Elephas maximus indicus: one gene and its partner. The protein of the gene in region 1 binds, or shares a complex with, the protein of each later gene. Links are inferred from orthologs where the notes say so. Each region holds a gene or a part of one and is shown on either strand. Other genes may lie near its edges. The genes, in order: ALB and FCGRT.

The links.
Region 2: the proteins of ALB (region 1) and FCGRT are in contact, whole or in part, in a crystal structure (PDB 6QIO), measured with the Homo sapiens proteins. The link is inferred for Elephas maximus indicus from reciprocal best matches to the Homo sapiens genes ALB and FCGRT. Residues at the interface, in NP_000468.1 of Homo sapiens: Arg105, Glu106, Thr107, Tyr108, Gly109, Glu110, Asp113, Asn133, Asn135, Gln441, Ser443, Pro445, Thr446, Glu449, Leu484, Leu487, His488, Thr491, Pro492, Val493, Tyr521, Val522, Pro523, Lys524, Thr530, Phe531, Thr532, Phe533, His534, Asp536; in NP_001129491.1 of Homo sapiens: Arg65, Glu67, Glu69, Gly72, Ala73, Val75, Trp76, Gln79, Val80, Ser81, Trp82, Trp84, Glu85, Lys86, Thr89, Arg92, Asn172, Lys173, Leu175, Thr176, Leu179, Phe180, His184, Glu188, Arg192, Gly195, Asn196, Trp199, Lys200, Glu201.

Annotation. Positions count from the first base shown.
Region 1 is NC_064823.1:84,362,565-84,374,349, reverse strand, and holds the start of ALB (albumin), read left to right. Parts: upstream 1-7,256; 5' UTR 7,257-7,376; coding exon 7,377-7,480; intron 7,481-11,785. UniProt on the Homo sapiens protein: Binds water, Ca(2+), Na(+), K(+), fatty acids, hormones, bilirubin and drugs. Its main function is the regulation of the colloidal osmotic pressure of blood. Major zinc transporter in plasma, typically binds about 80% of all plasma zinc.
Region 2 is NC_064829.1:99,978,680-99,991,315, forward strand, and holds the start of FCGRT (IgG receptor FcRn large subunit p51), read left to right. Parts: upstream 1-6,886; 5' UTR 6,887-6,964; coding exon 6,965-6,986; intron 6,987-7,208; exon of another isoform or gene 7,209-7,296; coding exon of another isoform or gene 7,297-7,315; intron 7,316-7,944; coding exon 7,945-8,031; intron 8,032-9,185; coding exon 9,186-9,437; intron 9,438-9,635; coding exon 9,636-9,911; intron 9,912-12,636. UniProt on the Homo sapiens protein: Cell surface receptor that transfers passive humoral immunity from the mother to the newborn. Binds to the Fc region of monomeric immunoglobulin gamma and mediates its selective uptake from milk.

The DNA of each region.
Region 1 (11,785 bases):
GCCACTAAAATTTAAGCTAGAGAAGAGGCCCCAGAGGCAATATCAGTTAGGTTAGCTAATTATCTGAAGCAACTAGAAGCAAAAGAAGGCAAGAGATAATTACAAAACATTGCCCAGGAAAAAAATGCTAGACATTAAGTTGATGAAACTGAATCTGTTGTCAGATATAAAGAATAAACATGGGACAGAGAGCCAGAAGACAAACCAGAGGTCACAAGTTATGTCAACACAGGAATACAGTGGGAGAAGGAGCAAGATGGGAATGACGGTAGAGGACTCAGTACTCTAGACTTGAGGATTGGATTGCCTGAAGCTGCCTGTTATTGGATGTTGGTCAGATGGCGAGTATGTGAGAGGACCTGGATTACAAGGAAATGGTTATGGGGGTTTTTTCCTCTGGCCCCTATATAATCAGGATCACCCTCTCAAGGAAGGGAAGATTTTCCTAGGGCTTGTCCTGAAAATAATGGATTTCCTTTGGTAGGAGGTTCGACTCCATTTCTTAAATCAGCCAAATGGCCGTGTCCCTGGGCATTTGCCTGCCCTGATCTAGTCACTATAATTACTGTGTACACACCTCCCTGGTTCCTGATCTGTACTCATTCATGCCATAGTCCATCTGGCTCTGTTTCCAATTTATAGTTCTGCTTCTGTTCTTTGAACTAGACTTGGTATCTGGTTTCTTTTTCTCATTCTTGGCTTGCTCTCAAAAGACCGTTTCAATGGTCGTTTCCATGCCAAACTATTTTACTTTCATTATTCTGTAGAGACCTAAGCCTCAACTCTGGTCATGGATCAGTGCCTCAGCTAAAACCACTGGACCTTCATGGAGGAACTGACATCAGTGGCTGTTCTTATGTGTATTCCTCAATTAAGTATTATCCCCACCAGATGGAGTATGAAGGCTAGCTATAATAATGGCAAAGTCCAGAACACCCCCTACTGTGTAATTTGGCTCCTTGTTTCTGGCAGTTGTAGTATGTTGCAAAGGCATTGAGTTCAGAGGGGTGTTCTAGGGCCACGTGCACAGGATCAGTGAAAATGAATTTGGGATACATGGACGATAAACCTGGAAGTGGAAGGTATCTACTTCATGTGTCGGTAACCATGTATAGGAGTCCTTGGGTGGTTGAAATGGTTAATGTGCTCAGCTGCTAACCAGAATGTTGGTGGTTTGAGTCTACTCACAGGCACCTATGAAGAAGGACCTGGCAATCTACTTCTGAAAAATCAGCCATTGAAAAACAGTGCCATATGGAACACAATTCTACTCTGACACCCAGGGGGTTGCCATAAGTCAGAATCAACTTGACAACATGTTTAACTATGTATAGGCCCAGAGAGTAGTGATGGCTGGTGTTTATCTAATGTGACGAGAGCCACAGAATCTTCACTCTATATTGTCTCCTTTGGTGTTCAAAACTGTCAGCTTAAGCTTTCATTCATTTAACAGATATTTACAGACAGCCTACTATGTATGTTGAGTCCCTGTGTGGTGCAAGTGTCCACCTGGAGGCATCTCAGAAGAAAGACTTGGTGATCTACTTCTGAAAAATCAGCCACTGAAAACCCTGTGGAGCGCAATTCTACTCTGGCATGCATGGGGTTGCCATGAGTTGGAGCCAACTCCACAGCAAATGTTTTTAAAATTTTGCGTATTTGTTTATCATGTATGTAATTGGCAGTGGGCTAGAACTTGGGAATACAAATAGTGAGCAAAACACCAGCATGGCTCTACTCTTACTGAGCCTACAAGCTAGGTGGAGGAAAGATATTATACATTAATCAAAAAATTCATGAAAATTATAGCTAAATATAATGTAATAATACAACTATACCATATAACTATAAAATGATATAGCTATAATGAATAAAAATTATAACTATGTTAAGTGTTCTAAAGAAGAAATAAATGATATTATGATTCAGTATAAACTGGGACTTGCTTTCCTGGGAAATTATGGTTGAACTGAGATCTTAGGGAGAATAGGAGTTAACTAGGTGAAAAGAAGTGATAAAACGTAGCCACCCTAAGTCCCTGTGGCTAAAGGAATTACGGTGTCTTCGAGGTGTTGAAAGAAGGCTATTGTTGCCACAGTGTCAGAGCTATGAGAAGCATCTTGTCAGATGAGTGCAGAAAGCAGGTAAAGGGTAATCATACAGGGTCAATTTAAAGATTTCTGTCTTTACCCCAAGAAAGATGGGTTGCCATAGACATGCATTAAGCAGGAGAGTGCTATGATATGTGTTTTGAAAAGATCGTTCTGGTTGCTTATGTGGAGGAGTCCAAAATGATGCAGGGAGACCAATCAGAGGCTGATGTGGTAAATCCAGGCAAGATATAATGCTGGTTTATACTATGTCGTTAGTGGTGGAGGTAGCTAGAAGTGATTGGATTGATCAATAGACCGATCTATCTATATCAAGATATATTTATATATATATATTTTTAATAGTGGTAAATAAATCAGAAAAACCAATCCCACTGCCATCGAGTCAATTCTGACTCACAGCGACTCTATAAGACAGAGTAGAACTGCCCCATAGAGTTTCCAAGGAGCGCCTGGTAGATTCAAACTGTTGACCTTTTGGTTAGCTGCCGTAGCTCTTAACCACTACGCTGCCAGGGTTTCCAGCGGTAAATATATGTGTAATAAAACATTTGCCATTTCAACATGCTTCACAAGTGAATTCAGAGACTTTGTGTCCATCGTGCAGCTATCACCATTATCTGTTTCCAAATTTTTCCATCACACTTAATGTAAGCTCAATGTCCCCTGAGCTATGAGTTTCCTTCTCCTCTCCTCCCCATCCCCTTGCACCTTCCCCTGGTAATCACTAATAAACTAAGGTCTGTATACACTTGCCTAATCTGGATAATTCATACAAGTGGAATCATACAATATTTGTCCTTTTTTGACTGATTTATTTCACTCAGCATGATGTTTTAAGGTTCATCCATGTTGTAGCTTATATCAGGGCTTCATTTCTCTTTCTGGCTGAGTAGTAGTCCATTGTACGTGTCTACCACACTTTGTTTATCCATTCATCTGTTAATGGACATTTAGACAGTTTCTACTTTTTGGCTATTGTGAATAGTGCTAAAATGAACATTGGTGTTTGGTTTCCTGCTTTCAATTCTTTTGGGTATATACCTAGAACTAAAATTGGATTGTATGGTAATTTTATGTTTAACTTTTTGAGGAACTGCCAGACTATTTTCCACAGTGGCTATACCATTTTACAGTCCCACAGCAATTAATAAGGTCTCCTATTTCTCCATATCTTCAGCATATAAAAATAAATCAAGCTTTTATACATAAGCAGCGAGTAATCTAAAAAGGAAATTAAGGAGGCAATTACATTTACAATAGCATCTAAAAAAAAGAATAAAATACCTAGAAATAAATTTAACCAGGGAAGTGAAAAACGTGTACAGTGAAAACTAAAAAACATTACTGAGAGAAATTAAAGATCTAAATAAATGCGAGTGAGGGCAGTGGTGGTTCAGTGGTAGAATTTTCCCCTTCCATGTGAGAGGCCCAGGTCTGATTCCTGACCAATGCACCTCTTGTACAACCAACACCTGTCTGTCATTGTCGCTCTGATGCTGAACAAGTTTCAGCAGAGCTTCCAGACTAAGATCGGCTAGGAAGAAAGGCTGACAATCTCTTCCAAAAATCAGTCAATGAAAACCTTATGGATTACAGCAGTTTAATCTGCAACCGATCAAGAGGATGGCATAAGACTGGGCAAAGTTTTGTTCTGTTGTTCATGAGGCTGCCAGAGTTGGGGCTGACTTGACAGCAGCTAACAACAACAATAAATAAATGGAAGGACATTCTGTGCTCATGATTGGAAGACTTTATATTGTTAAGATTTCAATACTACCTAAAGAGATCTATAGATTAAATGCAATACTCATAAAAAATTCAACAGCCTTTTTTTTGAGAAATGGAAAAGAAGATACTTAAATTTATATGCAATTGCAAGGGGCCCTGAATAGCTAAAGCAATCGCGAAGAAGAACAAAGTGGGAGGGCTGACAGGTTCTGATTTCAAAACATATTATAAAGCTACAGTAATCCAAACAACCTGGTACTGGTATAATAAACATATAGACCAAGGAAGTAAAATTGAGATTCCAGAAATAAACCCATACATCTAGGATAGACTGATTTTCGACAAGGGGGGAAGAAGTCTTTTTAATAAATGGTACTGGGAAAACTGGAATTCCACATCCAAAAGAATGAAGCTGAATCCGTATCTCACATCACATACAAAAACTAATTCAAAATGAACCAAAGACCTAAATGTGAGAATTGAAACCATAAACATAAGGGTATTGCTTTAGGACCTAATTCTTAAAAATGGACTCCTGGATATGACACCAAAAGCAAGGACAACAAAAGACAAAATAGATAAATGGGACTTCAACAAAATTAAAAAGTTTTCTTCATCAAAGGACTTATCAACAAAGTGAAGAGACAATTTTCAGACTGGGAGAAAATTTTTGGAACCATACATCCAGTCGGACCCCGGTGGCGCGGTAGTTAAGCACTTCATTGCTAACCAAAAGGTTGGGAGTTCAAATCTACCAGCTGCTCCTTGGAAACCCTATGTGACAGTTCTACTCTGTCCTATAGGGTCACCATGAGTCAGAATTGACTTGACGGCAACTTTTTTTTTTTTAATCGAATAAGGATTTAATACTCAGAATATATAAAGAACTCCTACAACTTAACCACAAAAAGACAAACAACCCAATCAAAAAATGGGCAAAGGACTTGAATAGACATTTCACCAAATAAGAAATACAAATGGCCAATAAGCACATGAAAAGATGCTCAAAATCGCTAGCCACTAGGGAAATGCCAATCAAAACCAAGAGACAGCACTTCAAGACCATTTAAGATGGTTATTTCTTTAGAAATGGAAAACATCAAGATATATTTTGAAGTAAGAGTACATGGGACTTGCTGACAAGTTAGAAAGCCCTGGTTGCTATAAAGGGTTCACTACCAAGTGGAATCGACTTGACGGCAACTGGTTTGTTTCATTTACTAAGGTTTGGAAGGCAAGGAAGGGGCAGGGACTGATCTGCAGAAGAGAAATGGACAGCATATGGTAAGGAAGGTGAGGCAGAGGATGGATGGCCATACTATTTGTCATAAAAGGGAACCATGGGTGAAAGACATGATAATTTCTTTGAGGGAACCAGCCAATGGGAGCTGGCCAGCTGATTTGACCAGGGTGGTCATAGACATAGCAATTGCTAACCCACATGTTGGAGCATCTAGACAGCACTGGATGTAGGAAGAGAAGATTCATGTGCTGCAAGGCCTGGATGATGGTGAATATGAAAACTGCAGAAGCCTTAAATCAGAAGATGTCCATAGCTCCTTTTGGGTTAGTTTGGATATCTCTCAGGAACTGACTTATGGCAAAGGTAATGGTGGTGCTAGGTAGGGCAAAGGTAATGGTGGTGCTAGGTGATGAAGGATAGCAGAGGGAATAAAATCCATATTTGTTGTAGAATAGGAATGTAAAAATTGTTACAGACCAACTTCTTTGTTGTAATGTGGATGACCTAATCATATATATTTTTTTAATATAGAAGACTATGGAAGTTTTCTTTCAATACCTGGTTGATACATTCTTTTTATCCTCATCTGTGGATAGCAGGTAAGAGAAGGGTGAATTCAGACAGGGAAGAATTTGTGGATGGCCTCCAGAAACAGACTAATTGCAGTGCAGGGTCTCACTCTAAGTTGTCCAGTAATTTATAGAGATGAAACACCTCCCTAATCAGCAAGGCAGTAGGGTCTGACGAAGAATATGATCCAATGTAAAGGTCAATTTGTACGGAGTCTTGGTGAAAGCATTAAGAATTATGTTAAAGATTTATGAAGGGGGAAGGGCTACGACAAACCATGGTAACAGTTTCTCAATAACCTCTGACAGATTAAGAATGGGTATAATTTTTCTTAGGACCATACTCCTGGGAAATCTATAGGATTTGCCCCAGTCATATCCTGAGCCTGCCCTGGTTCTATATGCAAATCAGCAATGGCTTTTTGTTGTCGTTGTTTAAGCAAGAAAGTTTTGTCGAAAAAAGGACTGATTACCATAGCTCCCCAAGTGTCACGCACTTGAATGCACCTCAGTATCTAGCCAAAAAAAAAAGAAAAACCAAACCTGTTGCCGTTGAATCAATTCCAACTCATAGTGACTCTGTAGGACGGAATAGAACTGCCCCATTGGGTTTCCAAGGCTGTAATCTTTACGCAAGCAGGCCACCACATCTTTCTCCGCGGAACAGCTGGTGGATTCAAACCGCTGACATTTTGGTTAGCAGCTCAGCAATTTAACCAATGTGCAACCAGGGCTCCTGCAGCCAAGTGAGCACTCAACAAATATTTATTGAATGGATCAATTCAATAGACCCATCCAGAAATAAAAGAAGAGCACTCAGAATTATTGGGTTAAAACAAGAAAGTTAAACCCAGATTATGGAGACTCTTGGACTTTGAAAATCCCTGGGTGGTGCAAACTGTTTGTGCTTAATTACTAACGTAAAGGTTTGAACCCACCCAGTGGTGCCTAGGAAGAAAGGCCTGGTGATCCACTTCCATAAAAACTACACCCAAAAAAGACCTGTGGAACAGTTCTACTCTAACGTATGCGGTCAGCATGAGGAGATGACACGACTCAGTGACAGCTCACAACAGTAACGGGACCTTGAAAAGTAGTTTAGACTGAATGTGGTTGGGAATAGGGACTCACTGTTGAAAATGCTTTCAAAAGATTATAATGTTAACAGTTTGTACTTCTACTCTGTGCCTCAGGGATGATGACACATTCATTAAAAAAACAACAAAAATGCATAAAATTGAAAGGCTGAAATTTTTGTTTTCTTTAATTGAAAATCATTCATTTAAAGCAGACAGTATCCTTTTTAGATAATTTTATGGCACAACTATTAAGCTTTTATATTTTTAAAACACAAATAAATTTTTAGAATTATCTACTTTCTGTAGAATATTTAAAAGAAATTCCTGTTTGAGAATTTGAGTTGCACATCTTTACCAAAGGTCTTTATATATATATATATATACTTTTTAGAAATAGCTTCCTTTTGAAAACCAAACCAAACCAATCCAAACAAACGAAAAAATCCAAAGTTTTCTTCAATCAGGGTATTAAGGGTTCATGCTAAATTCAAAATACTAAAATCAACTATGACAATCTGTACTTTTTAATGCTTTCTGTGTTTTTTTGGTTGTTGTTGTTACAAAATAATCCATATACTGACCTAGGTGTCCTATCTGGAAAACTTGGTTGTTAACCTGTGAGTGTGAAATTTCACGTTCAAGTATGTTAGTTGACAGTAGTAAAGACTTAAAAATCATTTTCCTCCAAAGTGATTTGACGACGTTAATGAATACCTGGGATCACTTAAACATGGTCATTGGAGTAGTGTAAGTATTTTTAATTCATCTCAGCCCCTCACAATTTTTACTTATATTATACAAAAGCATAAAAAATTATAATAGTATTTCCCTCTTAAAATTCTGATTGTTCTTGTCCCAATGTGTCTTTATTATTTCAGGATTGTTAGTTCTGGGTCTTCTGTCCTTCTATGTTTTTTTTTTTACTTTCTCCTTCCCGCATACATATACATTATTCCTGTGCCCTGATGCACATTGTGACAATTTAGAGACACATATAAGAATTTTAGTGAGCCAGGAGAGATCAGACTAACAGGAAAAGGCTTGCCTTTGCATAGTTGAAAGGCTCTTTGTTGCCCTGGGCAGCATTTATCTAATTCTATACATTCCTGTGTTTAGAACATGAGAATACACGGTTGGAAGCTGTACAAAAACATGCCTTACACTGCCCAAGTCTCAGTGTGCTCAGAACCTAGCATAGTATTTATAGTATAGTAGAGAACCATATAGCTTGGAAGTAAAATCAACAGTCATTTACATATATGTAATTTATATACTATATGCTATAACATGTTATATGAATATAACTATTCTATTCTCATTTTCTCTAGCTCTCTCTTTCCTTTCTTCTTCCTTTCCTCTCTCCTTCCCTCCCTCCCTACTTTCCTTTTCTCCCTCCCTTCCCCTTTTCCTCTCCATTTCTCTATCTGTAGAGTTTGCTATCTAAAGTACATAGTAAAAAGAATTTACTGTACTTTTAAGAACATTATCTTTAACGTATTTTCATATGTGTAATTATTAGTTTTATCAGACTTAGAAGAAATGTATGTTTCTTGGAAGCAAAGATGGCAAGGCTTCAGCTCCCTTACTTTGTGCATGTCATCAAGAAAGACCAATCTCTAGAAAAGGACATCATGTTTGGTATAGAGTTAGCAAAAACGAGAAAAAGTCTCAATGCGATGGATTGACCCATTAGCCTCAACAATAGGCTCAGGCATATCAAAAATCATGAAAATGGTGGCACAGGACCAAGCAACATTGCCTCCTCTTTTATATAACGTCACCACAAGCCGGAGCAGACTAAAAAGCAATGGCTAAAAAGCAACTAACAACAACAATTATTAGTTTTAGGATACCTTTAGGTTCCTGAAATACAAACCAAAATGCAAAAGTTTAGTGACCAAAAATAGAATATAATGACTATGTATATATACACAATTGTTTTAGCTTCCCAAGGCTGACATAACAAAATAAAAGTCAGTGATTTTAAAGAAGAGAAATTTGTTGGCTTACAGTTTTGGAGTCTAGGAATCCAGATTCAAGGAGTCAGCCGGGCCATGCTTTCTCTGTTTCCACTCTAGGGGAAAATCCTTCCTTGTTTTTCCAGCTTCTGGTAGCCTCAAGTGTCCTTGGTTTTCCTGGAGTTGTAGATACAACGTGTCTTCCCTCTGTGTGATTCTATTTCCGGGTCTGTTCTCTCCTTTACAAAACAGTACTTAGAAAAGATCAGGACCCACCCTACTCTGGTATGACCTCCTAAAAAAAAAAAAAAAAAACTGATAAGGTCTTCAGAAAAAGAATCTGCTTTCAAAGAAGGTCACATTTACAGGTACAGGGGTTAAGATTTCAATATATCTTTAGGGGGACACAATTCAATCCATAAAAAAAAAAAAATGTAATATGACGTGTATTCAGAAAAAAAAAACAAAGCCTAGCAACACTTAAACTTCTTAGTAAATCATTTTGGGGAGCTCTGGAGAGCACTTCAAAATGATAGGCAGTAATCTGGAAGAACTCACATTGAGACCACAAGAGGCCTGTGCAACTCCAATTGGAGAGACAGATCACACACAGGAAAACACAACGAAAAGAAAGCAGACAGTTGTTTTAAATATGGGCCTAAGTCAAAATTCATAAAGAAAGAAGCTTTGATTTTAGGTATTGATCTCCACTTGAACTGTTTTTTGAAGGGGTAACACTGTGTATTATATTGCAGGATGTGAGGCAGCAGGGCTTTATTCATTATTCAGGGTGGTCGATAACTCTCCTAACCAATGCTGGAAAGGTCAGCTGGCTATATATGATAATTTATTCTAATATATAACAAATCAGATATTTTAAATCAATGGAGGATTGAAAAAAATCTTGTCAAAAAAGTAAAGATTAAAATATATTTATTGGCCTACATACAATTTGAAACAGTTTATAGAATATAAAAGAGCACATGTGACTATTTTAAATAAAAAGCAATTAACTGGGAACATATTAATCTCCATATCTATATCATATAAAAAGTTCACATAAAGTGATAAGCTAAATAACAAATTCTCAAAAAAAATGAAGAGACCAGAATGCTTCCAGAATTAGTACTGCTTAGTACATATTTTCATCATGACTCATGGCAACCCTATAGGACAGAGTAGAACTGCCCCGTAGAGTGTCCAAGGACCATCTGGTGGATTTGAACTGCCGACCCTTTGATTAGCAGCCGTAGCAGTTACCACTTCGACGGCACTGGGTTTGGTTTTTTGGTTTTTAATACATATTTTATTATTTAATTTATATTATTATTCTATTATTTATATTATTATTAGATATAAAGTTATAATTTTATTTATTTGTATTTGTATATCATATTTTATATTTCAGATATGAAAATATTAATAATGACACAAGGAAAATTTTTCAATTTCGGTAGTAATTGAAAATACAATTTAAAATAACACCATAGTATAATTATTTTATTATTATTAATGTAGCAAAAATTTCAGAAAAGTTAAAATGGCTAACGGTGAGATTATGATGAAATTGTTATATTTTTCCGGTGTTGGTGTAAATTGCCCAAATGAGTTTGTGAAGTTATTTGGCAGTGAATATTTCTCCTTTTGATTCTCTAATCCTTCTCACACAAATTTATTCTTGTGAAAAATTCCAAAAAGGAAAAAAATGATATGCATTATGATTTCATAGAGTGGGGGAGTGAAAAATATATATGACCAATGAAAGGGAATTGCTTAAATAAATTATGGTGCTGTAACTCAGTGAAAGAAGTCTGGTGGTGCAACAGATAAGCGCTCAGGCTGCTAACTGAAAGGTTGGACGTTCGACCAGGTAACCTACTTCCATGAAGGTTATAGCAAAGAAAACCCTATGGAGCAGTTCTACTCTGTCACATGGGGTCTCTATGAGTTGGAATTGACTTGATGGCACCCAACAACAACTCAGTGAAATACTATGCTGCCATTTTTAGGAGATTGAGGTACATGGAGGATAATAGTGAGGTGTTTCACAATAACTGAGAATTAAGAAAAAAAAATTTTTTTTTTTTGTAAAAGTGATGCTGTAAAATCAAAATATAGTGAATCAGGGCAGAAAAGATAGAAAAGCTCCCAGACCAAAAGTATGTATCTGTAACCAGAATGAATTTATTGATACATTTAAAGAAAGAATGCCTAAATTGAGGGTAAGACTGATCAGCAGTGGAAACAAACAACCAAGAAAAGGAGTCCTGAAGACAAAAACAGGTGTGCCTATCCAGCACTGACTAGGACCTCATCTGATCTTTCTTAGAAGTGATTGACGCTATTATGGAGCCAGGCTTTCAAATTACACTAGGGTTCCCTTTGTTCATAGGCTACACTAATCATGCAGCCTCCCTGCGATTAGACTTCCCAAAGTGATAGTTACGGCAAAGCAAACACGGGCGATAGACTTGATAGTCACATAGTTCATCCTAAACTAATAAGTAGCTGTTTTAATTTCGTCATATGTCAGTCTCTTTGAGATGGGTGAGCATGACTTAACATCATGGAATTCAACCAATTCTGGACTAGAGAGCAAATCAGGGGTCAAGCCTGTGAGGATGAGGGAACAATGAAGAATTTACCAAGGTAGATGTCACCTGTGAACATGACTGGTTACCTAGCCTTCCACAAGTAATAGTCTTGGTCTACATATTAAGATGATAATTATAAATCCATGCAGCATGGAGAAAAACATTTTTGATACAATGTTCAGTGAAAGATAAAGCACAAAATTTTGTCCATCACGAGTGCAACAATTTAAAATATACATAAATATGGACACAATAGTCATGGAACAAGGGTAAAGAAACAGGGACTATGATAAAGTGATGAGCATGTCAGTAATATTTCTTTGTCTTTCATTGCCATTTTGTTTGGAAACCTTAGAAAAACCAGGAGGAAGAATAAAGGCAAACTCTGCATTGCATGGATATAAAATGTTTCAATAATCATATCTAATCATATAAATTGGAAACCCTGGTGGCATAGTGGTTAAGTGCTACGGCTGCTAACCAAAGGGTCAGCAGTTCAA
Region 2 (12,636 bases), on another chromosome or scaffold:
GTTACGAGAGTGTGGAGGGAGGGAGAGAGAGGGATTGTCACTAATTAGATAGTAGACAAGAACTATTTTAGGTGAAGGGAAAGACAACACACAATACAGGAGAGGTCAGCACAACTGGACTAAACCAAAAACAAAGAAGTTTCCTGAATAAACTGAATGCTTCGAAGGCCAGCATAGCAGGGGTGGGAGTGTGGGGAACATGGCTTCAGGGGACATCTATGTCAACTGGCATAATAAAATCTATTAAGAAAATATTCTGCATCCCACTTTGGAGAGTGGTGTCTGGAGTCTTAAACGCTAGCTAGCAGCCATCTAAGATGCATCTATTTGTCTCAACCCACCTGGACCAAAGGAGAATGAAGAACACCAAAGATAAAAGGTAATTGTGAGCCCATGAGACAGAAAGGACCACATAAACCAAAGACTACAGTAGCCTGAGACCAAAGAACTAGATGGTGCCCAGCTACAACTAATGACTGGCCTGAGGGGGAACACCAGAGAGAAACCTTGAGGGAGTAGGAGAACAGTGAGATGCAGACCCCAAATTCTCGTAAGAAGACCAGACTTAATGGTGTGACTGAGACTAGAAGGACCCTGGATATCATGGTCCCCAAACTTTCTGTTAGCCCAGGACAGGAACCATGTCCAAAGCCAACTCTTCAGACAGGGGTTGGATTGGACTATGGGATAGAAAATGATAATGGTGAGGAGTGAGCTGCTTGGATCAAGTAGACACATGAGACTATGTTGGCATCTCCTGTCTGGATGGGAGATGAGAGGACAGAGGGGTCAGAAGCTGGCAGAATGGACACGAAAATAGAGTGGAGGAAAGGAGTGTGCTGTCTCATTAGGGGGAGAGCAATTAGGAGTGTATAGCAAGGTGTATATATAAGTTTTTGTATGAGAAACTGACTTGATTTGTAAACTTTCACTTAAAGCACAGTAAAAATTAAAAAAAAAAAAACTCTATGGACCACAATGTTCCCACTCACAGCTGATCATGGGGATGGCACAGGGCTGGGCAGCGTTTTGTTCTGTTGTGCACGGGGTCACCATGATTCAGGGGCTGGCTCAACGACAGCTGACAACAACAGGGCAGACCCCTAAGAGGCCTCGTGACCCAACTGACCATTCCCCATCTAAGCAGCGAACCCTGAGGCCATTAGAACAGAAAGGAGAGGCGATCAGAAAGGGCATCTGGGTATGGGCAGATGTCTATTGTTGTTGTTGTTAGGTGCCCTCGAGGCAGTTCCAACTCATAGACACCCTATGTACAAAAGAGCTAAACACTGCCCAGTCCTGCGCCATCGTCACAATTGTTGCTCTTTCTGAGCTCATTGTTGTAGCCACTGTGTCAATCCATCTTGTTGAGGGTCTTCTTGTCTTTAACCGGCCCTCTATCAAGCATGATGTCCTTCTCCAGGGACTGGTCCCTCCTGATAACATGTCCAAAGTATGTGAGACAAAGTTTCACCATCCTTGCTCCTAAGGAGCATCCTGGCTGTACTTCTCGCAAGACAGATTTGTTCTTTCTTCTGGAAGTCCATAGTATATTCAGCATTCTTCACCAACACCATAATTCAAAGGTATCAGTTCTTCTTTGGTCTTCTTTATTCATTGTCCAGCTTTCATATACACAGGAGGCAACTGAAAATACCATGGTTTGGGTCAGGCTCACCTTAGTCCTCAAGCTGACATCTTTGTTTTTTCACCCTTTAAAGAGGTCTTTTGCAGCAGATTTGCCCAATGCAATACAATGCAGATGTCTATAACATGCAGAAAAACAGCCCTCAAATATGTCCACGACCTAATCCCCCGGAACTTATAAATGAATATATTACCTCACTTGGTGTTATGTATTGAACTCTGGCCCCCGGAAAATATGTGTTGTCAATCCTAATCCCTACCCCTGTGGTTATTGGAGTGTCGGTGGCACCGTGGCTAAACACTCAGCTGCTAAGGGCAAGGTTGGTGGTTTGAACCCACCAGCCGCTCAGCAGGAGAAAGATCTGGCAGTCTGCTCCCATAAAGCTTTACAGCCTCGGAAACCCTATGGGGCACTTCTACACTGTCCTATAGGGTCGCTGTGAGTCGGAGTCTACTTGACAGCAATGGGTTTGGTTTTTTGGTATACCTGTGGTTATAATCCCATTTGTTATGTTAATGAACAGTATTACTGTCAGGTATGTCTTACGCACTGCAGTGAATTATTTAATAGGGCCCTTCCAGCCATAGTCTTAGTAACTCCCACTAAACTGGGTGGGACTATGCAAATGAGGTATATGAACCCTAACGAGGGGATTGGTCAAATTTGCCATCCCACTAGGCTTAAAGGGAGACATTGAGAGAGAGTAGGAGATGTAACATGGAAGACAGACAGGGACAGCTGTGACAACTGAGATGCCAAGAAGCAGCTGCAGAGAAACAATGGCAGCGGAGGCAGGAGGCTGGCAGGAGAGAGCGCAGTAGGCTTCCTGGCCCAGGGAGCAAGAAAGCTGAGCACCTTTGAGCTCAGTCCTTGGCCTGGACTCTGCTCTGCTCAGAGAAATGTGACAAAGCTATTTTTGCTCTGCTGATAAGTGCCTTGAGGCACCCCACTCCACCTGAAAGCCTGGGGGCTTGGTGGCAGGAGCTCAAGGGCTCCTTCACTCAAGTGACCTCATTTGCAGGTCCAGGGCAATAGAGAAGAATCCTAGAAAATGTTTTGACAGGGTGTAAAAATGGTCTGGTGGAGGTGTCTGGCCTCCTCCAGCTTCACAGGGAGGAAGGAGAATCCAGATCAACAGCTGAAGGGTGATTGCTATGAGGCAGAGGTCAGACATACCTCCTCTCTTGGCTATCTTTACTAATTCTGACACCATCTGTCCCTCACATGACACTCTACTTCTCTGCTGGGTTTGATAATTCGTTAAAATGTCCACAAAGAACTCAGACCACACTCACAGTTATGTGGTTTATTAGAGAAGCAACAGGTTACAATTCAGGCTCAGGAACACTCAGGGTACAATTTTTCCATCAGGACAGCCTCTTCCCAGCCATGCCTGCAGGCACACCTCTCTCTGGCCCCTTGGCCTCTCAGCCCCTTTGCTGGCCTCTGCCCTGCTTGGCAAGTGTTACAAAACTTCTAGCTCTGCTGATAAGTGCCCCAAGGCACCCCACTCCACCAGTAAGCCTTGGCCCGAAGGTGCTCACCTCTAGCTCCACGGGTTGGCAAACCTAGCTCCACCAAGTGCCCAGAGGGACCCTACTCTGCCAGCAAGCCTTCTGCCTGAAGGTATTCAGTTTTCTTGCTCCGGGCTGGGAAGGCCACCGCTGTCTCCTGTCAGTCTCCTGCCTCTGCTGCTGTTGTTTTCTGCCGCAGCTTCTGCCTTCAGTGTTACATTCTCTCTCTCTCTCTCTCTGTTTCCTGGTTCCAGGAGTTTCTCAGCACAGGGATTCCGGATTCTTTGGGACACGGCTCCACTCCTGGCTCTTCCTTCTTGGTGGTGGTAAGATCCTCCCTTCCCGCCACTGGGATGGCTCATTTTAAGCCTAGCAGGATGACGAAAGTGAACAATCTCCTTATTAGGGTTCCATATACCTTATTTGCATGGTCTCAGTCAGTCATTGTGTGTGAGTGACAAAGACCGTGGCTAGAAGGACCATATTAAGTAATGCATTGCACTGTACAGGGCCCTGGGACCATTGGCGCTAGACCCAGAGTATCTAAAGATGACATCCAGAGCCCCAGAGCAGGACCAAGAGGCCTTCTGCAGCAAGGTCTCAGGTCCTTCAGGGTGGGGTAGGGGGTCATGACAATAAGTTCCTAGGAGAAGGTAGAGGTTTTGTACCAGAGGGCCTGTCTAATTGTTGCTTTCTATATATCTGTCTAGCTCCATTTTTTTGTCTTTCTGTCTGACTGCTTGTCTATGTATCTGTTTTACCTACGTATCTATCTTTGTCTTTCTACTTGTCTATCTGAGTATCTACTTTGTCTATATTTCTGTTTTTCTATCATCTGTCTACCTACCTACCTACCTATCTCTCTGTCTGTCTTTCCTGGGGAGGCTCTGAATAGGGCAGGGCCTGATGAGAGGCAGTGATAGAGGGAACCCAGGAGTGGGCTTGGGAAGCCTTACAATAGAAACGGGGGCAATTAGAACAGCTTGGTAGCAGGGCAAAGGTCGGATTGAGGGCAGTTTATGGCAATCCTGAAGCAGGTCACAGTAATGGCTCTACTGGGATTCAGGACTCAATTAGCAGCATCCAGGACGTGGGGTGGCCGACTCCGCAGGATGTTAGCATAGACTCTTTTTTTTTTTTGGCTTTAACAAACAGAAATTAATTCTCTCACAGTTTAGGAGGCTAGAAGTTCGAATTCAGGGCTCCAGTTCTAGGGGAAGGCTTTATCTCTCTATTGGCTGTGGGGAAAGTGTCTTGTCATCAGTCTTCCCCTGATCTAGGAATCCTGGGTCCAAAGGACATGCTCCACTTCTGGTGTTTCTTTCTTGGTGGCATAGCATAGACTCGAAGGCCATTATGGCTGGGTCTCAAGATACTATCACAGAACCCAAGGGGGCATGGGGATGGGCACCAGAGATTATCAAATGAGCCCCAGGGGCACGGGGTGAGGAGGAACCCTCCTAACCACGGTCCCACAGGGCCCCAAGCCCCAGGGACATGGGTTGTACAGCTGTTACTCCAGCAGAGCCAGGAGGTCCTCAGGGGACCTCCAGGGGGCAGTGTAGAGGCATGGATGGCACAGTGGAGTCTTGAGGCCATTTTAATGGGCCAGGAGGCATCATAACTGGACGATATGTACCTTATACCAGGGCTTAAGGGGGCCTTCAGAGAAGTTCTGGGGACTCTTAAAGTGGGACATAATAGCTCTGGGGACATTTTAGCAGGATCTCAGAATATGTATGAAGGGGTATTTCAGGCCTTTGAGTATCATAGTGGGGTCCACAGTCATTACAGGGAGATGCCATAAATGTTCTAGCAGACCTCTGGGAACATAAGCTCTAAGACTGGGTCATTATAGCCGGCCCCCAGGGTGATATTATTCAAATTTCAAGGAAAGATATCGCAGGGTCCTGGGGCTGTTGTAACAGGACATTTGGGCTTTATTCCAAGGAGTATTATAGTAGCGTCCTTGGGAACTTTCCACCAGTTTGTCAGAGTGTAATGGCTTATGTGTTGCTGTGATGCAGGAAGCTATGCCACCAGTATTTCAAACACCAGCAGGGTCACCCATGGTGGGCAGGTTTCGGCAGAGCTTCCAGACTAAGACAGACTAGGAAGAAAGGCCTGGTGACCTACTTCTGAAATTCAGCCAATGAAAATCTTATGGATCACAGAACATTGTCCAACTCACTTGCTTTGGACACATAATCAGGAATGCTCTCTCAGTGAAGGAGGATATCATGTTTGGTGAAGTAGAGGGCCAAGGGGTGGGGGGAGACCCTTGGCGAGATGGATTGGAACAATAGCCACGACATGCCAGTGATGGACTCAAACATGCCAGTGACTGTGAGGATGGTGCAGGACCGGGCAAAGTTTCATTCTGTTATACATAAGGTCACAGTGAATAGGAGTTGACCTGACATCAGCTATCTATCTATAATCCATCTGTCTGTCTGTCTACCATTTATCTATCTATCCGCCTAAGGGACTTTAAAGTGGGACCTCACGGGCTGCTGTAAATAGTTCTCTGGAGGTATTATACCAGGGTTCCAAGGAACGTAGAAGGGACAGCTAGGGTCATGGCAGATCCCTCAGGGTATCTTAGGGAAGAGCTGACGATGCTGTAATAGGACTCCTGGGGCACTAAGGCAGGATCCTGCAGACTCATTGGTGGTGGATCCTAGGGGTGAATCTCAGTGGGTGTTCTAGAAGGACCCAGGAAGAGTAATAAAAATGACTGGCGGTTTCTGAAAAAGTTAAGCATAGAATTACAATATGATCCAGTAATTCCATTCCTAGGTCTGTACCCCAAAAAATTGAAAACAAGTGTTCAAACAAAACACTTGTACACAAATGTTCATAGCAACAGACGAATGAGATAAACAAAATGTGGTCTAGCCAACAAAACGAAATAATAATATTCAGCCACAAAGAGAAATAAAGTTCTGATACATGCTATGGCAGGAATGAACCTTGAAAACCTGACGCTAAGTGAAAGAAGCCAGACACAAAAGTGATTCCAATTATATGAAATGTCCAGAAGAGGCAAATCTTTAGAGACAGGAAGTAGATTAGTGGTTGCAAGGGGCTGGGAGGAGGAGGAATAAGGAGAGACGGTTTAATGGATATAGGTAGTGCACAACATACAGGTATTTAAGTTACGATGAATAGCACTTACAACTGTCCTTTTTTTTTTTTTGTACATCTTATTGTTGGTAACAGGTTGCAGGTGTAACTTGCTGATGTTATCATTCTCAGACGTTCGTTCGCAGATCTTTAATTTTATGATTTTACTGTTCAAAACATTGCCGGATTTATAAAGACACTGATAAGAAAAGGCAATAATAATGAAAACTTAAAAAAAAAAAAAAGAGATATTCAACTTATGTCAGAACCCACTTATCAGAGTCACAGAAAGAGAACCCCGCCGTAAGTCGGGGGCTACCTGTATAGGGTTTCCTTTTGGCGTGATGGAACAGAAACGTTCTGAAACTACTAGTGGTAGTGGGTGCACAGCATTGTGAATGAGCTAAATGTCACTAATGGTAAATCTTATGTGTATTTTACCACCATTAAAAAAATGAGTGGAAGCATTATAGCAAGAGCAGGGGATGTGGTGGGTGACCGGGAGGGGGTTCTACCGCGGGATAAGAGGGTGTTGGGGTTGTGTGGTTATGCGGCAATGTCAAAAGGGCACTGACTGACACAGCAAGAGCAATTCAGGGGAACGCTTCCGGGAATAGCTCTAAGGGGGAAATAGGCATTTCGAGAATTTTCTTTATGGCAGAAGCTTGCGAAGGCCATGATGGGGGGTGCACAAGGAGGTAAGAAGGGGCCCACAGAGGCCTACACATCTTGGACTCTAACCGTGTTCAGTTCGGATCCCACTGGATTCGCTGGGTGGCTGACACCCTCAGAACAAAAAACAGGGAGCAACAGAGAAAGAAACCACAACAAAAAAAGACAAAAGTTTCAAGAGAGGCAGAGAAAAACACCAGCGGAGAGGCTGGGCGGGCGGACTGGGGTGTGCCCTGCAGCTGGGGGGCGGGGTTGGATATTCTTGGGGTTAGGGAACAGTCTCCGGACAGGATGTAAGGGAGGAACTGGGGTCTCCAGTCACGGGAATCTGCTGGGATGCAGGCTGGGAGCGAACGTAAGCAGGGCTGGGGGCCCAGACTCCCGGGTCTGAGGGGGGAGGGGCCTGGGGGCCAAGACTCTCGGGCCAGGGGGAGGAGGGGCTGGAGACCCGGACTCCGGGGTCTGAGAGAGGAGGGGCTGGAGACCCGGACTCTGGGGTCTGAGGGAGGAGGGTGCCGGGGGGTCCAGACTCTGGGGTCTGAGGGAGGAGGGGGCTGGGGGTCTGGACTGCCGGGTCTGAGAGAGGAGGAGGCTGGGGGTCTGGACTGCCGGGTCTGAGAGAGGAGGGGGCTGGGGGTCTGGACTGCAGGGTCTGAGGGAAGAGGGTGCATGGACTCCTGGGTCTGAGAGAGGAAGGAGCCCGTGGCCTGTACTGCTGGGTCTGAGGGAAGAGGGCCGGGCCCAGCTCTGCAAGAGGAATCTCAGCTTATCCAGGCTCTGTAATTAATTAACTAAAACGGATCAAATTAAGGGGTGAAAGTTCAGGGAGGAGGAGGAAATTTTTTTTTTTTTTTTTAATAAGAATCTGTCGCCCTCCTGACCGAGCCCCCCGACCCGGCCCCAGCCGCCCGGGTCCTGGGCCGCCCCGCGGGTCCAGGGGAGGAAGAGGAAGGGCTGGCTAGGTCACCCGCCTCCCTCCGCTAGGTCTCAGGCTCAGGATGAGGGTCGCCCGACCACGGCCCTGGGGACTCCGTGTGCTGCTGCTTCTCCTGCCTGGGACGCTGGGCGCAGGTGAGGGGCCTTGGGGAGGGCGGCTGCGGATAGACGTGAAGCCCAGCCAGAGAAATCTGGGTTTTCACCAGAAACCAGTATGCTCTTCTCCCCTGCTTTAAACGTTGTTTATCACTTTCTTCTCCCGCGGCCTCTGTGACTGGGAGCCACCTCTCACTTTTCTCAGGGTTTCTGTCCCCATTTCCCTGGGTCTCAGCACCCCTCTTTCTCTGGGTCTCTGTGCCCCTCTCTCTGGGTCTCTATCCCCACCTCTCCCTGGGTCTCTGTCCCTCTTGCTCTCTGGGCCTCTGTCCCTCTCTTTCTGGGTCCTTGTCCTCTTCCATCTGGGTCTCTTCCTCCCTCGCTTTCTGAGTCTCCTCCCCCCTCTCTGAGTCTCTTTCCCTCTCTGGGTCACTGTCCCCCCTCTCCCTGGGTCTGTCTTCCTCTCTCTCTGGGTCCCTGTCCTCTTCTTTTGGGTCTCTGTTCCCCTCTCTCTGGGGTCTCTGTCCCTCTTTCTGGGTCTCTGTCCCTCTCTCTCTGGGTCCTTGTCTGCCTGTTTCTGGGTCTCTGTCCCCCTGTCTCTGGGTCCCTGTCCTCTTCTTTCTGGGTTTCTGTACCCCCTCTCTCCCTGGGTCTCTGTCCCTCTCTCTCTCTGGGTCTCTGTCCCCCACCTCTGGGTCTCTCTCCCTCTCTCTCTAGGTCACTATCGCCCCTCTCTCTGAGTTCTGTCCCACTCTCTCTCTGGGCCCTTGTCCTCTTCTCTCTGGGTCTCTTCTCTCCTCAATCTCTGAGTCTCTGACCCCCCCCCCCGGGTCTTGTCCATCTCTCTCTCTCTGGGTCTCTATCCTCCTCTCACGGGTCTGTTTCCCACTCTCTCTGGGTCTCTGTTCCCTCTCTGTCTCTGGGTCACTGTCCCCCGCCTCTGAGTCTATCTCTTTCTTTCTGGATCTCTGTGCCTCTCTCTCGATCTCTGTTCCACCTTCTCCCTGGGTCCCTGTCCTCTTCTCTGAGTTTCTGTTTCCCTCTCTCTGGGTCTCTGACCCTCTCTCTCTGGGTCTCAGTTCCCCCCTCTCTGTGAGTCTCTGTTCCCCTGTCTCTGAGTCTCTGTCCCACTCTCAGTTTAGGCCCCTACCCCACCTCTGCGTGCTCTCTTCATCTCTGTCTCTCTCCGGCAGACAGCCATCTCTCCCTCCTGTACCACCTCACTGCTGTATCCTCCCCTACCCCGGGGACTCCTGCATTCTGGGTATCGGGCTGGCTGGGCCCACAGCAATACCTGAGCTACAGTAACCTGCGGGCCGAGGCCGAGCCATGCGGGGCGTGGGTCTGGGAAAACCAGGTGCCCTGGTACTGGGAGAAAGAGACAACTGACCTGAGGAACAAGGAGAAGCTCTTTCTTGAAGCTCTCAAAGTCGTGGGAGGAAAAGGTAAGGCCTGGATTCCTGGGTCTCAGTGAGGAAGGGGCTGGGGGCCTGGACTCCGGGTCCGAGGGAGGAAGGGGCTGGGGGCCTGGACACTTAGGTCTGAGGGAGGAGGGGGCTGGGGGACCTGGATTCCTGGGTCTGGGTTAGAGAGGTTGGGGGCTTGGACGCGTGGGCCCCACTCACCTGCATGTGGCCCCCCAGATCCCCTGACCCTGCAGGGTCTCCTGGGCTGTGAGTTGGGACCAGGCAACATCTCAGTGCCCACGGCCAAGTTTGCCCTGAACGGTGAGGAGTTCATGACCTTCAATCCCAAGGCGGGCAACTGGAGTGGGGACTGGCCTGAGGCCGAAGCCATCGGCAACCTCTGGAAGAAAGAGGCTGAGGTCGTCAACCAAGAGAGGGCCTTCCTGCTCAGCTCCTGTCCTCAGCGGCTGCTGGGCCACCTGGAGTTGGGGCGAGGGAACCTTGAGTGGAAGGGTAAGGAGCTCCTGAATCACTCTTGCTTCTTCCATCCTCTCTCCTGACCATGGCCCTGGGCTCCTGCCGGGCCTCCTAGCCTCCCTGCTCACAGCCCTCTCAAGGCTCCCACCCGGCCCCCAGCACAGAATTCCAGCTCCTACCTTTAATGACCTCATCAGACCCTTTCGGCTTCACTTGTCTTCCTTCACCTGCCCATCAGAGTCTACACTCCAGCTCCACCCCCAGTTGGCTGTGCCCCATCTAAGCAAAGCCCTTCCTCTGAGTGTCTGCTCATGCGATTCCCCTGGCCTGGAACACCCTTCCTGCCTCTCTCCACGTGTTCCAACCCTGCTTAGTTTTCAAGGCACAGGCTGAATATCACCCACTTTGAGAAGCCCTCCCCCAATGTAGCTGTTTCCTTCCCAGAGGCCCCCAGGCCTCCATTCATCCAACAAACGTTGGCTGAGTGAGAAGAACTGACTACCTGATGACATGAAGGAATTGTAATTAAGTATTTGTAGGTGTAAGGTTCTTGGGTGGTACAAAAAACAGCAACACCTAACCAAAAGGTTGGTAGTCGGAACCAACCCAGTGGTGCTACAGAAGGAGAGCCTGGTGATCTGCTTCCTTAAAGAATAAACCAAACCAAACCCATTGCCGCTGAGTCTATTCCAACTCATAGTGACCCCATAGGGCAGGGTACAACTGCTCCACAGGATTTTCTAGGCTATAATCTTTACAGAAGCAGAATACCATATCTTTCTCCTGTGGAGCGGCTGGAGTGGCTGCTGGTTTGAACCACCAACCTTTCAGTTAGCAGCCAGGTGCTTAACCGCTGTGCCATCAGGGCTCTTGCAAAGATTACAGCCAAGAAAACCCTATGGACAGACACCCTTTTAACTCAGACCTGAAGTCTCTCCCAAAGTTCACCATTCAGCCAAAGATTAGACAGGTCTATAAAACAAATAGTTTAACACACGTGAGGAATGTGCTTCTTAGTTCAATCAAGTATATGAGACCAAATGGGTAACACTTGCCCAAAAGCAAAGATGAGAAAGCAGGGAAGAGACATGAAAACAGGACAAATGGAAATGGGGAACCCGGGGTGGAGAGGGAGAGAGTGTTGACCCATTGTGGGGATTGCAACCAATGTTACAAAACAGTTTGCTTATAAATCGTTGAATGAGAAACTAATTTAGTCTGTAAACTTTCACATAAAGCACACTCACACAAAAAGAAAACCCAGTGGAGCAGTTCTACTCTGTAACACGTGGGGTCACCATGAGTCAGAATCAACAGCAATGGGTCATTAGTAGGTATGATAATAGTTTTGTGGTATTAATTTTAAGTGCCCTTACCAACTAGAGAAGTCCCTGACTGATCCTAACCAAAAGGTTAGGTGCCTCAGAAGAAAGGCCTGGCAGTCTACATCCAAAAAATCAGCCATTGAAAACCCTATGGAGCACAGTTCTACTCTGACACACATGGGGTCTCTATGAGGCAGAATCGATTCAACAGCAACTGGTTTACCTGACAGAGTTACATTCTGAAGTATTTATAGATGAAATACTCTGTGTCTGGGATTTACTGAGGAAACCCTGTTGGCGTACTGGTTAAGAGCTACAGCTGCTAACCCAAAGGTTTGCAGTTCAAATCCACCAGGCGCTCCTTGGAAACCCTATGGTGCAGTTCTACTCTGTCCAATAGGGTCGCTATGAGTCGGAATCGACTTGATGGCAGTGGGTTTGGTTTTTTTGGTTGGGATTTACTGAAGAAGCTTAGTCTGGGGTGGGGTGAGGCATTGCCAGGTGAGGATTTGAGTGTAATACAAATAACCATGTGTTGATTATGGTTGAAGGTCAGTTATGGGGGTACATGGGGGTAGGGAAGGGTCATTCCAGGCCCTGGGCAAAGAGAGGGAAGGGACGCCATGTTTACCCTCCTGCGGCACCGAGGCTGCCAGGAAAGACATGTCTAATGGAGAGTGGCCCAAATATTCACTGCAAGTACCACAAAGGAGGAGTTGGGACCTAAGGGTAGTTTGCTTTAATTTTCCCCTTTCGTTTTAATTATGCAAAATTTCAAACTACACATGAGCAGAGAGAATAGGATAATGATCCTCCCCCATGAATCCCCATCACTGACCTTCAACCATGGTGAACCCATGTTTATTCGTATTTCACACAAATTCTCACCCACTTCCTCATTCCACCTCAGACTCAGCTTTGGTAAATTCCAGACACCAGAGTATTTCATTTGTAAATACTACAGTATGTAATTCCTGGGTAAGGGCATTTAAAAAAATTAATAACCGCCACACCTCTCTCTGGTGCCCTGGTGGCACAACCTTTAAGCGCTTGGCTGCTAACAGAAAGGTTGGCATTTTGAACCCACCCAGGGGCTCTGCGGGAGAAAGACCTGGCAATCTGCTCAGTTACAATTAAACCAAAACTAGACTGCTATCGAGCTGATTCCGTAAGTAAGAGAAGTCTCGGCATCCTCGCTTTCAAGGAGCATTCTGGCTGTATTTCTTCCAAGACAGATTTGTTCGTTCTTCTGGCAGTTCAGTACCTTAATTCAAAGGCATCAATTCTTCTTCAGTTTTTCTTATTCATTGTCCAGCTTTCACATGCATATGAAGCAATTGAAAATACCACGGTTTGGCTCAGGTGCCAGCGGCTTATTCCTCAAAGTGGCATCTTGGCTTTTTAACACTTTCAAGAGGTCTTTTGCAGCAGATTTG